Linked DNA regions of Arabidopsis thaliana. The protein of the gene in region 1 interacts with the protein of each later gene in a pairwise test. Each region holds a gene or a part of one and is shown on either strand. Other genes may lie near its edges.

Evidence for each region. Proteins that work in one complex are often made in the same cells at the same time.
Region 2: the proteins of LRB1 (region 1) and SVP interact in binary tests that used the Arabidopsis thaliana proteins (3 or more experiments, as listed by UniProt).

The regions. Positions count from the first base shown.
Region 1 is NC_003071.7:18,991,789-19,000,705, forward strand, and holds LRB1 (BTB/POZ/Kelch-associated protein), read left to right. Parts: upstream 1-3,856; 5' UTR 3,857-4,322; coding exon 4,323-4,578; intron 4,579-4,703; coding exon 4,704-4,838; intron 4,839-4,975; coding exon 4,976-5,094; intron 5,095-5,194; coding exon 5,195-5,258; intron 5,259-5,485; coding exon 5,486-5,765; intron 5,766-5,843; coding exon 5,844-6,675; 3' UTR 6,676-6,884; downstream 6,885-8,917. Other genes in the region: AT2G46250 (myosin heavy chain-like protein), read left to right, coding at 183-299, 415-1,413. UniProt on the Arabidopsis thaliana protein: May act as a substrate-specific adapter of an E3 ubiquitin-protein ligase complex (CUL3-RBX1-BTB) which mediates the ubiquitination and subsequent proteasomal degradation of target proteins.
Region 2 is NC_003071.7:9,576,257-9,584,401, forward strand, and holds SVP (K-box region and MADS-box transcription factor family protein), read left to right. Parts: upstream 1-3,390; 5' UTR 3,391-4,160; coding exon 4,161-4,342; intron 4,343-5,249; coding exon 5,250-5,328; intron 5,329-5,614; coding exon 5,615-5,679; intron 5,680-5,794; coding exon 5,795-5,894; intron 5,895-5,979; coding exon 5,980-6,021; intron 6,022-6,132; coding exon 6,133-6,174; intron 6,175-6,645; coding exon 6,646-6,687; intron 6,688-6,785; coding exon 6,786-6,937; intron 6,938-7,328; coding exon 7,329-7,347; 3' UTR 7,348-7,645; downstream 7,646-8,145. Other genes in the region: AT2G22530 (Alkaline-phosphatase-like family protein), read right to left, coding at 1-58, 144-250, 338-422, 512-679, 761-805, 881-977, 1,055-1,185. UniProt on the Arabidopsis thaliana protein: Transcription repressor that inhibit floral transition in the autonomous flowering pathway, independent of photoperiod and temperature. Acts in a dosage-dependent manner.

The DNA of each region.
Region 1 (8,917 bases):
GAGTATATTCGACCGGAAAAAATCTCATTTTTGCGCAAATTCCACCGAGAAAATCTCAAAGTATTGTTCTTTATGATGTGGTCTTTTGCTCGTCTATGCACAAATTTCATTGGACAAATCTCATGGTCGTAAAGTTGGCTCGTAAGTGTGTTTAGTATTTATATATGAGTTTTAATTTGCAGCCACCAAGCAGAGCTAGCTTGAGGAGGCAAATTGCAGCAACTGATGATTATAGAAATGGTGATCTGTTGCAACCTATCTCTCCTGCAAGTTGCAGCAGCAGCAGCAGTTCATTGCAGGTGAAGAAAACAAAGTTTTTTGCTCTTTGTTCACTCTTAAATTTAACCAAGGAATGCTTTTTAACAATCTTGTTTTGAGCTGGATTTGGTGTGTGTTGGCTTAATGTGCTTGTAGGTTGTGGTGCGTAAGCCAGCGTTTAGTCAGACAGGTTCTTCGGCGGTTAAGTCTGCAAGCTATGGTTTGGGTTCCTCTACAAAGCTTCTCAAGGTGCTAAACCGGATATGGAGTCTCGAAGAACAGAATACTGCTAATATGTCTTTGGTTAGAGCTTTAAAGATGGAGTTGGATGAATGTAGAGCCGAGATTAAGGAGGTTCAGCAACGGAAGAAGCTAAGCGATAGGCCACTGAGGAAGAAAAAAGAAGAAGAAGAGGTAAAAGATGTGTTTCGATCCATAAAGAGGGAGTTAGATGATGAGAGAAAAGTTAGAAAGGAGTCAGAGACTTTGCACCGGAAGCTAACACGAGAGCTTTGTGAAGCGAAGCATTGTTTGTCCAAAGCTTTGAAAGACCTTGAAAAGGAGACACAGGAACGTGTTGTTGTGGAAAATCTCTGCGATGAGTTTGCAAAAGCGGTGAAAGATTATGAAGATAAGGTGAGAAGAATTGGCAAAAAGTCACCGGTGAGTGATAAAGTAATTGTGCAGATTGCAGAAGTGTGGAGTGACCAGAGATTACAAATGAAGCTAGAGGAAGATGATAAAACATTTCTTCTGCGAGCTAAGGAGAAGAGTAGATCACAGTCAAGTAAAGGAAGTGGCTTGAGAGCAAAACCAGATGATTCGGTATCTATGCATCAAAGGGTTTGCCTGAAGGAACTCGAAGAAGGGCTTGAAAAGCGAACAAGAAGAGATAACAAACTGCAGCTTAAGAAGAGCTCAGGCCAAGTTCTTAATCTATCTATGTCTTCGGAAGGAGATAAGATTCATCCAGAGAGTAGTCCAAGGAACGTTGATGATCATGAGAGTCAAGAAAAGTCTAGAACTTTCTCGAAGAATCATCCGAGAAATGTGAATGTGATGATCAGGGAAGATAATCATCGTACTCTCAAGGATAAGCTGATGGAAGCTCGTGTAGAAAGTCGACGTTTACGTTCTTCTTTGAAACCAGAGTGATAATTCCGGTTCGAGCAAATAATTAACTCGTGTCTTCTCATGTATGTTGGATTAATTATTTGGTTGTGGTTAATATTAATGCTCGTTAGTCGTTAAAAAAACTAAATATTTTAATTGTCCCAGTGACAGAAACCAATTTCACATGAAAAAAGGAAAAAGCTAATTTTGTCAACAGTTCACATATATTGACATTGAACACAACTCCGGTTCGACAAAAAAAAAGAACACAACTCCGGTCAACTATTTTTGGCAGTTGTAATTAAGAACAAAAAGATGTAACTTAAAGAAGAGACAATTTAACCGATTAGTTCAAATCTTTGGTCATCAAAAATTCCACAAGTTTTAAGAAGACTGATTGGTGATTAATAAACGTTAAAAAAAAAAAAAAAGCCAAGTCAAAGATGTGTCGGTAATAGCGATTGACCAAACTCTATCTGTTTTAGAGCATCATTAATGGTAGTTTCTTAGCATAATTTTAATATAGTTTTTATGAATATTTTTATAATTGATTTTGAAAATTCTGAAGTTAAAAACTTGGTTAAGAGATTGAAATTTAGGCAATATGCAATGGTGGAATCTTAACTTGGAGTTCTTAAAAAGAAAATTTGAAAAAAAAAATAGAAACATTATAATTTTAAAAAACTTAATAGTTATTACAACTCATAAAATTTAAAACATACATGACATAAAATTTTAAACAAATATGACAAACAATTCTATTTAATACTTAAGTTATCTAAAAATTAAGATTAATTAAATTAAAATATTATATTTAAGACCTAATTTATCTAAGAATTAACTTAAAAAACATTAGATTTGGCTCTTATATAAGAGCTATTCTTAACCATTAATTGAATTATAACATTAAATTTAAGATCTACTTTATCTAAAAACTAACCTAAAAAACTATCAATAATGATGGTCTTACGAATGCCTAGATTCTCTTCAATATACAAAAAGTACGGTTTAGTTATTGTTTGGACATTTGAAATCTAACTAATTCTCTTTTTAGTCTTAATGCAATGGAATTGCAAATACTCCATAAACCATAGTGTTGCACCCTAACCGTATCTCTCTCTAAAAGAGAATCTAGTCAACAAGATTATGTTTAATCTCTAATTAATGACAATAAGATTTACTGCCAAAATAAATAAATAAATAATAATAATAAGATTTACTGCCATTTATTCTTCTATATTTTTCAATTTTTTATTTACACTTGTTCCATAATCGTCCCAAGGAGTAGACTAGGGTTGATGCTCTTTCATCTATAAAACGACTTAACACAACATGTTCTTTCACATCATCATCATAAGCCTCAACAATCCATCACCATACATATTAGATTCTCCCTCTTTCCATAGTTTATTTTTGGTTCGTTTTATTGTAAAAAGATATCAAACTCTTTTTGGGGGACATTCGTTCTTCAAGTGTAACAGAAGGAGCTCCCTTCCTCCAAAACGAAGAGGACAAGATTTGAGGAACTAAAATGCAGAATCTAAGAGTTCATGTCTTCCTCATAGAGAGTGCGCGGTGTTAAAAGCTTGAAGAAAGCACACTTTAAGGGGATTGCACGACCTCTTAGATTCTCCCTCTTTCTCTACATATCATTCTCTTCTCTTCGTTTGGATTGAAGGGAGCTCCTTTTCTTCTTCTCTTAATTAGTCTCTGTTCTTCAAAACTTGGTTTCGATCTAACTTGTTTTCTTTTTCTCTAGTGCATTTTTTTTTTCAGGTTGTCATGTTTATTTGCAGGTGTTTGTGGTTGATGCTTGCATGGAAGCAATATTAATGTTGTTTATTTACGAGAAGACGTTCGTGTGCCAATTTGAAAATATGATATTAATGGAAATACAGATTAAAACTGACAAATGTATAAATATTTCTTGTTCCTTGTTTTAATTTTAACATTAGTCGTGTGTTTGTCGTAAATACGAAGGGGACATTTCACCTAAAAAAAGAAAAAAATATATTCATCAAAACTGGTCTTGGATACGTTTTTAGTTAAAACAAGAACAATAATAAAGTTAGGTTTAACTTCGATCAGATCGAAACAAGTACACTATAATTGTTTTGGTTTGAGAAAATATACCATCGATGGTTTCAAGAAATAATAGCAGCTGGGTTGCTTGTAGTCGATACGTTAAGTCGTATCATCTCAAATGATCCCTAGTAGTACACAACATAGTCAACTGGTTTGTCATGTGTTGGCCTACGAAGAAATGTATACCGGCCGGATTTCAATTTATAAATTAGTCCTTTTTTTTTTGTCAAGTTATCATTGCATAGCCAAGTTTCACTCGGTCAAAATCTAATTAACAAAGTCTGTAAAACGTTGAAGTAATTGTATTTTATTAAAAGAAAACTCCAAATTAGACTTTGATTCCAACGAATATTTAACGACATAAAAGGCATTGCCGTTTGTTGAACGAGTTGTCTTCTTACCAAATTTGACGCTTTCCAACTAAATACACTCCTAATTTTGCCTATTACCTTTTTCCTCCTCTAATTAAGTAAATGCTAAATTTCCCCCAAATACTAAAAATCGAATCCGATAAGTCAAAATCAAAATCGTACCTACGCGATTTATGCAAAATACCGGAAAAAGAACCAAAGTGCTTATTACAATCAAAAGACCAAACCGGTTAAACAATTAGTTAGGCTGGCATTAACGAACCTCTTTGTCTTTAATTAGCCTTTATCCGTCACCGCCCTGTTACCATAACCGTTCAACGTCGACCCGCTCTTTGTTTCAGAAAAAAAAAACAGAGAAAGACTTTTTTAGTGTTTCTTTGTCATTTTCGTTCCTCAAAAAAACCTTTTCGAATTTGACCCTTATTGTTATCCTGATTCTTCTGCTCGGTTCTCGCCGGAGAGAAGACACGGAGAAGAGGGTTTTCGAAAAGGAGGATGAGAGGTTCCAATAACACCGATCTATTTGACCCTAAGACGGAGATGGATTCCAATTTCTCTCGCCATGGTTCTTCCTCCGAAGGTGATTTTGGTTTCGCTTTCAATGACAGTAACTTCTCCGATCGTTTGCTCCGGATCGAGATCTTGGGTGGGCCTTCGGATTCTAGGTCTGATGCTGAAGGATGTACGAGTATTGCCGATTGGGCTCGTCATCGCAAGAGGAGAAGAGAGGACAACAAGAAGGACAATGGTGGTACGTTTGATTCCCTATCGGTTGGAATCTCAGATTTTGTTGTTGTTTTTATGAATTGTTCTTATGGTTGGTTTAGGGCTTTTGGGTTTAAATGTTTAAGAAACTTATACGTTTTGCATTTCCAGTTGCGATTTCAGACATTGTGGCATGTGCTGAAGAACAGATTTTAACCGATAACAACCAACCTGATATGGATGATGCTCCTGGTGGTGATAATCTTGACGATGAAGGAGAGGCAATGGTTGAAGAGGCTTTATCAGGTACCGTTCTAAATTTCACATTGTCTCTCGAGTGACTGGGTTTGAATTTGTGATACTTAACAATTTTCAGAAGAGCGTTTTTTGTTGAAGTCATTTGTCTGAAACGTGATGGCTTTGTTTATTAATGGTTTTTGTAGGTGATGATGATGCATCTAGTGAGCCAAACTGGGGTATTGATTGTTCTACTGTTGTTAGAGTTAAAGAACTGCATATTAGTTCTCCTATCTTGGCCGCAAAAAGCCCCTTTTTCTACAAGGTATTAACCTTTTTTCTTCTTCTATGTTCTTATTGTTTGCTCTTGTTCATCTCGCATGTAATGCTATCTTTTGCTTCTTGTTTTCCTTACCCTGTTGTAGCTGTTTTCTAATGGAATGAGGGAATCAGAACAAAGACATGTAACCCTTAGAATTAGTGCACAAGGTACGACAATTTAAGTCAAGCTTTTAATTCATTTCTGCTATTCTCCAATCTCTTTATATTGGCTTCAATTCTCTACTAGCTCTCTGTTGGCTTCTTCTTGTTTTGGATTCTTTATGCCTCTTGTATTAACTCAGTTGCTGACTTTGATTTACATATGATATACGATATTAGCTTTAAGGGAGTCCACATTGTTGATTTCTCATGCTCTACTTTTATGTGTATTGTAGAGGAAGGTGCTTTGATGGAGCTTTTAAACTTTATGTATAGCAACTCTCTAAGTGTCACAACAGCACCCGCTTTATTAGATGTTCTTATGGCTGCTGACAAGTTTGAGGTTGCTTCCTGTATGAGGTATTGTAGTAGACTACTGCGAAATATGCCCATGACCCCTGATTCTGCTTTGCTCTATCTTGAGCTGCCCTCTAGTGTTTTAATGGCTGAAGCAGTGCAACCTCTAACCGATGCAGCAAAGCAGTTCCTTGCCTCGCGCTACAAGGATATTACCAAGTAAGACTCTCCAGTGGTTTGAAATGCATTTACTCTAGTGTTGTATAATTCTTGTTCATGTGTTACCATCTTGTACAGGTTTCATGATGAGGTTATGGCCTTACCATTGGCTGGAATAGAGGCGATACTATCGAGCGATGATCTCCAAATTGCTTCTGAGGATGCTGTTTATGATTTTGTCTTGAAATGGGCAAGGGGACAGTATAGTTCATTGGAAGATCGTAGAGAGATTCTGGGTTCACGCCTTGCACTCTACATCCGCTTCCCATACATGACGTGTCGAAAGCTGAAAAAGGTACTAACGTGCAGTGATTTTGAGCATGAAGTAGCATCAAAGCAAGTATTAGAAGCGCTCTTCTTCAAAGCAGAAGCCCCACACAGGCAACGCATCCTCGCAGCTGAAGGATCGGACTCCATGAACCGCCGTTTCATAGAGAGGGCTTACAAATACAGACCCGTAAAAGTGGTGGAGTTTGAGCTTCCTCGCCCGCAATGTGTAGTGTACCTGGACTTGAAGCGAGAGGAATGCGCAGGACTATTCCCTTCAGGAAGAGTCTATTCTCAGGCTTTCCACTTAGGAGGTCAAGGTTTCTTCCTCTCAGCACACTGCAACATGGACCAGCAAAGCTCGTTCCACTGCTTTGGGCTATTCCTCGGAATGCAAGAGAAAGGGGCTGTGAGTTTTGGTGTGGACTACGAATTTGCGGCAAGAGATAAAAGTACAAAGGAAGAATACGTAAGCAAATACAAAGGAAACTACACATTCACAGGGGGGAAAGCGGTTGGTTACAGAAACCTTTTCGGGATTCCATGGACTTCGTTCATAGCCGAGGACAGTCAACATTTCATCAATGGCATTCTCCATCTCAGAGCCGAGCTCACCATTAAACGTTCCTCAGACCTGCACTGACTGTTTTCTTCTCTCTCTCTCTCTATGTCGTCACATTTAAGTTGTATAATCTCGTTATGTAGCAGCTCTAACCACGAGTGTCCTTTGTACAATAATTGCCTAAGGAGCAAAAGTATGGCTTAAAGAGTACCTCATTCTGTAAATTCTTTGATTGGATTTTTTTACTTTTCTATATGGGTCTTTATAAATAGTCCAAGATAGAATTTGGGCCTAGCTTTTGAGGTTAGTCTTAAAATATGGGCTCAAGGCCTACTACGATGCGTAATGATGAAGCTAAATTGCCTATAGTGTGAACATTAGGCTTTTATATTCAAAGTTCAAACAATGCGGCTATAGCAATGGTACATCGAGGAAATAGAATGAAGTGACAAGGATAATTTAGGAAATGAGGATAGAGGAATTGAGTCCTCGTCACATGGGGCCCACATAAATGCGTAAGTAAGACTATCCGCTTACCAGACGGACACGTCATTTTGTCGGGACACGTTTGAGCCGTTGGATGATTAATCTCCTTTTCTGACTTATCGACCCCACTTTTTTTTTCCACTACAAAATATTGATGGCCACGTCAGATGATTCGAAGTTATATAAAACACACGTTTTTATTGCAGCTTAACCGTCGATTTTTTTCTAATCGAGAAACCGAGATCAACGGTCTATATTCAAAGCTGATGTGGTCTGTACCTTTGCTTACGTCACCGAAAACCTAAGTTGAATAATACTAGTACTAGTATTATGCTCTCTGATTTCTTTCTACAGTACACAAAATAAAAATAAACAAAAATAGAGAGCCCAGACAATATTTACTACATCACCCAATGGATAACCGACACGTAGATACATCCATGTGAGTCGCATTTTGTAATGTAGGGACCACTTCGTGGATAGAAGCTCTTTTACGCCAACGCAAAAAAAAAAAGCCTCGTTGGCCCTTTAGCCTCTAAATGCCAATAACTATCTACTGGCGTGGCTTAGTTTATACCGTTGGATCATTTGTTTATCCCAGCCGTTGGATTCGAAGCAGTTGTCGGGCTTGTGGGCCTTTTCTTTATTGTTTTGTTTTCATAATAATGAAAGAAAATAAACTAAAAAAGTATTTTTTATTTTTCCTTTTATGGTGATTCCATGATGGCAAAAACGTGGCCATACACGTGGGTCGTCTCGTGGCACCTTTGGAAGATACGAATCGGTAGTGAATAATGGACGGTTCGGATCTTTAGTTTTGTCGACAGAAGTGCTCTCCGCGTCGGAGATACTACTAGTCAAAGGTCTTTTCTTCCTTCGTATTTTACCATAATGTCCCTTCTTTCTAATCAAATTTTTATCATGTATCCAAATTATTCGAAGCAATATTCTATATAATAAACAAATATGCCCATCGGTAAGTAGCAAAAGTTAAATTGTGTTTATTTTCATGCCATACAAAAATAATGATTCTGAAAATTCGTTGGAAAGATTGTTTAGTTTTCTTATTTTTATGTTGCACATGACTTCACTGACGTGTGAATGTGATGACGGATTTTGAAGAGGATTATACACTATGGTAAATATCGACTATAAAAATAATCTAAACATGAGGGAAGCGTAGAGCGACTAGAAATCGAACACGTGTACGGTAGAGATGACATAAGAAATGGCTGGCACTAAACTCGATGAGCCAACTCATCAAACACCACCGTAGTTTACGCTGTTATATATTCTCATGACACGTGTCTGATGACGTGGTCATCGTCTTGGCGCTCCGTTTTTTTTCTCTCTCTCTCGCGTCTCCCTTCCCTCAAAAAAAAAAACTGAACTCTTTTTCGCTCTGGTTTTTTTAGAGAGAGAGAAAGATGAAAATGCGTTTAATTGCTGTTTAGGTTTCGAATTCGCGATTTAAATTTCTGGGTTTCTCTCTGTTTAAGCTTCTTCTTCTTCATCTTCTGCTTACGTTTCTTCTTCAAGGAGCTTTCGGATTCTTGTAGGTATTGCGTAACTTAAATGGTTCAAATAGAGATTGTTTGGTCGAATAGTTTTGTGATTTGGTTTCTCTATCATTCATTGATCTTCTAAGTTTTGTGAAAATTTTGCCATTTTTGATCGTTTGCTTTTGCATTTACTTGAATTGAATGAAAAATTATAAGTTTTGAATTTGAACAAAAACAGCTAAAGCGTAGAGAAGAACAGAGTTTCTTTTTTTGGGTGCATGTGATTGTTTCAGGGGTAGAATTGTCCAGTAGTGTCTACTTTGTTGATTCCTTTT
Region 2 (8,145 bases), 9.4 Mb from region 1:
TTAGCTCATCGGGCAAGTGTCGAGAAACATTTCTGTCTACCTGTACTGTATCTTTGACCTGTCCAAAAAAACATTTTTTGTTCAGATGACCATGATGTCGATAAGAAAAGCAATCAACAAAACCAAACATCACATTAACTCACAAAGAAACTGCTAACACCGTCATGTCTCATAAATAGCCCTGGAAATAACTTGAGCCACGTCTCATCACCGAGCATCACCATTTTCCAACCAATCCTGAAAAACTGACCTGGTAAATTTGGACCAATGTCACATAGCTTTTCTTTCAATGTTTGCAAGCATGAAAAATTTCTCATTGTTGAAAACTAATAGTTACCAAGAATATTATCATCTAAGAGAGCTTGTGTGTTAAAATTAAAAGCAACATCCAAGAAACCACCAATTGCCCCAGAAACCATTGCCTGAAAAAAACAATGAATTCTATCAACTAAGCAAGCAAATAAATTCATTTAGACTGTGATCATCCACTTAATCACAACTATACACACACCTTTAACCTCGGCATGGTAACAGTTGGAGGAGCTGCTTTAGCATGGTAACCAATAGCATCTCCATTAGCTAACAGTGACTGAGTATAAGGCATAGACTCTTTCAAAACCTTCTCTGGAGGTTTACCATCTTTCCCAAGAACGAACTCCGCAGGTAGCCCATCAATAACCTAAACTAGCATCGCTTTAACATCCTCAAAAACACTCTCTCACAAAGATCAAAATCAAAATTTTAACAAAGTGCAACATACCATTAAAATCAGTCGATCATATTTGGAAGAGATTCCAGATAACTCCTACAAATTCACCACTATCAAACTCAAAAGGGAACTTTACACATTTGTTTTTGGATTCACAAAAGAGACAAATACCTGGTACAGCAATCTCAGTTTCTCTGGATGATGAAGCTCCGATTCGTTCGAAATCAGAGAAGAATCACAGAATGGATCTCGATAGCTCTCCGAGCCACTGCCATTTCAAATAAACAAATCAATAGAGCGTAGATTCTTCTTCTTCGACTTCAAATGTTATTGATTTAGTAGTACCTGACGCCGGAGAGAGTCGGCTTGACGGGGAAGAAACCGAATACGAAAATGGAGAGGCCAATAATCTGAAGTAATATTCCGGCCACCGTAAATATCGTCAGTCTCGTACAAGTCATCGCCGCCGTCGTCATTTTCAGGATCCGGCGAGAAACTGAACCAAAATAATACTTATTTTACTCGTAAGGAAAATTTGGGCCTAATAAAAGCCCAATAATAATAAAAAGCCCATTAGGGACTCCGCTTTATGATAACGGTGACTGTAGTTTCCTTGATGTGTCAGAGAGAGTGTGTAGTGTAGGGACTGTGTAGAAAGAAAGAAGCCTAAAATGGCTAAAAGGTTAGGTGCAATGTTTCATTAGAGAGGCTTGGAACTGTTAAGGGAAAGGTCACGAGTCGTCTACTCATAAAAACTCTGACACTTTGACCAATCAAAACTCAAAGACCTCACCAGTTGTGTCACGTGCGCCTCTAAACACTATTCAATTTCAAATATAAATGATTCATGCGGTTCCAAACGCCAATTGATGGATGTTCTACCAAATTTAATCTACTTTTACCAAACCATGACAAATATGAATAAACATTACTTGATAATAATTTTGTGAGTGAACAAACTTTTTTTTTTTCGAAACCAAACCAAGCTGAAAAAAACTCAACGATTTTCTTTGTTTAAAATACGTTAGAAAGGAATATGTATTATGCCGAAATAAGTAATATCGATCAGGCCACCTCTCTTATAGTTATTCTCCTAGCAACTTTAACCACTAGAAGGTTTTGTTTTCTAGTGTTTTCTAATATACGTCATCAAAATTTTCAAAAAATACTACATTTTTGTTTTAAAAACTTCCATAATTCCATTACTCGTAGAACACAAACGCAAACCATATTAATATTTTGTTGTCAACAAAAATTTCAAATTATAATTCAACTATATTTGCTTGATTACCCAATTAGATAGAAAAGAGTTAAAGAAGAAAAGAAAAGAGTTTACAGTAAATTAACGCAAACCATAATTATATTTAACACCGTATTAATCACATCAACCATATGACTTTTTTACCGTTTGCAACTTCATAATTCATATAGTATCATAATAAATTCGCAATAATACAACACAAGAGTTTCGTCGGAAGAGTAAATAATACTCAAATAGGGGGTGAGTGATACGAGCCACATGTATTCTTGAAGGGTAGATTATTGCAAACTTGGAGTAATAAAGAGAAGAAGAATGGGTTTGTAGTAGTTGCGTGGAGTATCTTTATTTGGGTAAAACTTTAATTTAGAAATAAAATTCTGTACGGACAATGGATCGTGTCCCAATCAGATTTCTTGTGGCTGCTTCGGGTCTGGTTTTGGGTCCCTTTGAAAAATTTTAGTGGTCGACACTTTTTATTTTACTCTGGCTCGTGCCTCGAGGGTCCCTCTATTCACTGTTTCTTCGTATGAAGGTATGCTTAAACATTATTTTATTTTTAAAAACCCTTTAATTTTATTTTCTTACCTTTAATCACGGTTTTGTAAATTGCTTTTTAGTCTATGGAATGATGATTGTGGCGATTGAAATCATATGTTTGGTTCTGTTGTTGACGTTGGTGAAGTATATGTGATTTGTAATGTTGAGCTTATGTATTAAAATGTTAAATGATAAATAACCTCGTAAGAAAGTGATTTCATTTAAATTTTATTTTGAGTTACATATTCAATTGGTTTTATAAAAAAATACTTCAGTGATGATTGATACCCCCATTGTGTGTGTAATTGTTACTGGGATTGAACAAAATTTATTTGTGCATGACAAACTTTCCAAATTAGTGCATAGATTGTAATTGTATAATGGACTACATGTATCTGAGTAGATATGGTTCATTAGGTTACAAACCTCTTTTTTTAAGGACACAATTTTTCGACAAGTTATATGCCACATGATTGACTACTAAATTTTCAAAAATTATTGCACTAATGTCTTTGAAATTAACAAATTATTTTGTCATTTCCGAGTTGGATTCTTACAAACCAAGGCCGAACTCACAAACTTATTTCTTTCAGTAAAAACAAAACATTGTCCTCAGAAAAATTCTGAAATGTCATCTTCCCAAATGTTTTTACATAAATAAAAATAATATACAGTTGATATTATTTTGTTCTTTCTGAATTTTGTTATGAGGTACCATTACCATATAGTACGTAGATTTACAAAAATGAAAATACGTTGTAGCCCTTGATGTTCTTCAGGTCTTCTAGTTAGTTTTTGCAGTAAATACCAACCAATTAGTTACAAGGAGTATAAGTGAACAAAGTGAGACAACTCATTTTATGCTTCCCTATAAAAAGAAATTCCCCACTGACCCAAACACACACTTCTCTTCTCTCTCTCATCTCATTGGAGACTTATAAATCCTATTACCTCACCATATCCAATAACCACCACACACAGACCAATATCCAAAAAAAAAACTAAAACTAAAAATATAATATATATCGTTTTCTTTCCAAAAATAATCATTTAAGAAACCCCATCATCTTGATAGTATTATAAAATTAATAAACCTCTCCCTGAAAATATCTCATCCTTCACCAATCAAAACCTTCTCATGTCTTCTTCTCTCCTCGACCTTTGAGGTGGAAAATTAAATATATTCCCTTAGCTTTTTTTCTCCTTTAGTTTTCTTCTTCTTCTTGAGTTTTTTTTCTTTTGATCCTCTCTAATTTCCTTGTTGATTCATCGACTAGATCTAATTCTTCTCACAAAAGACTGAGTGTGTTCTTTCTTTCAAATCTTTCAAAAACTAGGGTTTTTACTGTCTTGAAATCATATTTATTCTTCTAAATTTAGCAAAAAGAACACGATTTACTTTCCATTTCAGTCGTCTTGTCACTCTCTCTCTCTTCTTTAAAGTCTCCCTTTTTAGCAAAAATTCTCTCTCTCACAAAATTTATTTCCTCTGGCTTCTTCTTCCTCCTCCTCCATCTCTTCTCTTTACTCTCTCTTTAATCATCTCTCATTCTTGAATCTTGATCCATCAAAATCAATCCCGTTCTCGAAAGATCCATTAAAATCAAAACCTAAGCTCTCTCTCTTGCTTCTAGGGTTTTTTTGTTCGTTGTGATGGCGAGAGAAAAGATTCAGATCAGGAAGATCGACAACGCAACGGCGAGACAAGTGACGTTTTCGAAACGAAGAAGAGGGCTTTTCAAGAAAGCTGAAGAACTCTCCGTTCTCTGCGACGCCGATGTCGCTCTCATCATCTTCTCTTCCACCGGAAAACTGTTCGAGTTCTGTAGCTCCAGGTCTTTCTTTCTCTCTCTAACTTCCCTCTCTATAGATTTCTCATAACTCATCGAAGGAATCTTGTCTAGATCCAGACAAAAAACTTTAAAGAGTTTTTAGATGTATATCTGATACATAGGAGTTTACTGTATCAATCTTTATAGGACCACTAACTATTTATATAATTAAAATAGTTGTTAGAAACATTAATCATGACCATAAATGACATATATAAAGTGTATAGTAAAACTCTGTATTTAGATAAATTAAGGTATCTAACTACGGTAATATTCAAAAAGATGTAAATCTGGATATGCATATATGTATATTATTAGTATATAAATACATGCTCTATAGTAGGTATTTGTGTCAACCATGTATAAATCTATGTATATAGATATTGTGGTATGATATGTTTAAGCCGTCAATGTCATATTTATATAGAAATATGTGGGTACCATAACATGAGGAAGTATCTATATGTGTGGATGTATAAAGCTTTCCCTTTGAAGAAGTAATCTAAAAATAATATATATATATATATGTATATGTATAGATATGTTGGAATCTTTATTAGTGTTGGGAAAAGTCATTTAGAGAGATATTATTGATATTAGGGATCTAAAATGACTTATCGTATTACAGAGATACGATTTTGGATTTTTGACCCACTAGTTATCAGCTCAGTTCCTATCTTCGGGGACATACACACTTTCACAGATAATTGTGTATATATGTAACTGAAAACGATAGTGTTAACATGAAATAATGTACATGTTTGGGATTAAATGTGTTTTGTGGATTTGGTTTGCATCTTTTGATTTTAGATTTTGGTATATTGTCGGTGTTTACATATGCACATTGTTAATATCAACAGTATAGTTGTTTATAATAAGTTATTTATTGGAATGTGTTTATATTATGAAGCATGAAGGAAGTCCTAGAGAGGCATAACTTGCAGTCAAAGAACTTGGAGAAGCTTGATCAGCCATCTCTTGAGTTACAGGTTAGCTACATTCTCGAAACGACCACACATTTTCTTTCCCGATTTCTGTAACTTGCAAAATCGAGTATTACTCCGTTGAATTACCAATATGTTTTAGATTGTTGTATTTATTGACCAAGAATCTCTTAAAACTTTGTATTAATAGGTACAAAACTTTATATTATTGCATATGATTAATTAGACTCGATCCATGTAGTAGTCATGTAGAGTAGTCCTGTGTAGAGAGTTGAGCTTTAGATCATTATGGATATGATTAAGAGCTTAAATCAATGTTTTATTCTGTTAGCTGGTTGAGAACAGTGATCACGCCCGAATGAGTAAAGAAATTGCGGACAAGAGCCACCGACTAAGGTACGTTATATATGTATATTCTATGACTTTTGAACTAACTATCATTTTCTAACTAATTTTTTTTTTGATCAACCACTATCATTTTCTAACTGTGTGTTTACATGATCATATATAGGCAAATGAGAGGAGAGGAACTTCAAGGACTTGACATTGAAGAGCTTCAGCAGCTAGAGAAGGCCCTTGAAACTGGTTTGACGCGTGTGATTGAAACAAAGGTTGTTAAGAAAATTACTTGATACCATGTATAAGTTTCTCTAAGCTTACGAGTATGCAATTTACTAATACGAGATGTGTTTGCAGAGTGACAAGATTATGAGTGAGATCAGCGAACTTCAGAAAAAGGTAATAATTAACCAAAATAACGTTTATTCTTTACTTGATGATTTCAATATTAATTTTGGCAGTTTCAAGATCCAAAATTTTCATCTTCTTCTCTTTTTTTTTGGTGTTCAGGGAATGCAATTGATGGATGAGAACAAGCGGTTGAGGCAGCAAGTATGTGTCTTACCCTCTCTGTTGATAACAAATCCCTTTCTTTTGTCTACCATTAACGTACACACCCCTAAATTTAATCCCCAGTTGTCTACAACACATATGTTTGATCATACTGTGAGATAAATGAATAAACCAAGTGATATAGCGCGATTTAAAAATGTCTTTAAAACTAAAGGTAACCATGTAGCTAGTTAGTCTCTAGGGTCCTAGAGGTCTACGAGTGTGCATGCATGGATTTGGTGCGTTTTTTCTTTTTCATCTTCATTTTGTTTTTTGAAACAGGGAACCATAAACGAATATATATCTAATTCTTGTTTGATATATAGTTTGGTCGAGGCTTCATGTCAAGATTTGCTCATTCGTAGTTAGTTGATCTCTAGAGAAATTCAAAACACATGGTGCCACTAAAAACACAAAATGCAAATACTTAGCTAGAGAACTTAATGATATGTTTTGTCTTGATTTTTGCAGGGAACGCAACTAACGGAAGAGAACGAGCGACTTGGCATGCAAGTACGTGGATATATATATAGTCTTGATTATTTTGAATTTTGTATGTTTGTTATCAGTTTAATGTTAAATTTGGAATATTTTTTTTTGGTTACGTGTAGATATGTAACAATGTGCATGCACACGGTGGTGCTGAATCGGAGAACGCTGCTGTGTACGAGGAAGGACAGTCGTCGGAGTCTATTACTAACGCCGGAAACTCTACCGGAGCGCCTGTTGACTCCGAGAGCTCCGACACTTCCCTTAGGCTCGGGTAACCAATTAATCACCCTTTCTTTTTACATTCTTTTGAGTTGATAGCTTTACATGATTTTTTTTTTGTTTTTAAATTGAGACAAAGAATATAAAAATATATACTTTAAACGACCATATACATGTATGTTGTCCATATTTATTGGCATTGCAAGATATGGATGACACAGAATCGTAAATAAATTTGGTTTATTTGTTGTATATTTGTAATTCTAACAAATAACATGTTATTTTGTATATTTTACATGATATCATGCTATTTGTTAAAATTACCTGTCATAAAAAACACCACTTATTTATGGTTTGTTTTTTGAAAATTCTGGCACAAATCTAATCATCTACAAAATCACTCTAAAAAATAAGTTATTGATTTAATGTATGGTGTTGTGCAGCTTACCGTATGGTGGTTAGAGATGGAACAATTCAAAGAAGTTGATGGAGTGAGGAGAGTAATGTAAATCTTTTTAACTCGGTAGTAACAAGAGACAATGTCTAAGTAGTGAATTCTCAAATGTTTGTGTAAGTTTCTGCCTATGGAAGAGGCTTTCATTTTTATGATTTTCACTATGTATGATCTCTCTTCACTGCATTTCTGGTTAGTAACGCTTGTCACCGATAAACTTTCTCGTTATGGAAAGTTAGAATATAAAATATTGTAGAATTTTGATTATCGATATACTCTTGGTTAGGGATCAAAAATATATTTTAGTGATGCCTCAAATAACTAATAATCATCATAGGACTCAGTCTCATTAGAAATTTTAGTGTAACAAAAGTGTGATTCGAATTCATCTTGTTGTTTTGTTGAATTTGTTGCAAAGTTTTACAAGTTTTCTCAGACCAGAGATTTCAAGTGTCTTCATTGGTGATGATTCTGGTGAATTGATGATCTTACTTGTGTGTGTGACACTTGCAATGTGTCTTGTTTGAGAAACACATTTGTAGTTTAGTTGGAGCTGTGCGGTTGGATGAGACTGAGTTCTATGATAATAAATTAGAAGCAAAGTTTCAAACCATATTCATACGATTCATTATGTTAGCAACAAGAAATATGAATATGGTTTGAAACTTTGCTTCTAATTCATCATTCGTTACACAACGTCCAAAATCTAAAAAAGTTTCAGATTTTCTCAAAATTCAGTAAATGGGCCTCTATATAATGAGGTTTGACGTTTTAGAGATACTTTGCACAAGAAAGAAGGTTCTGGT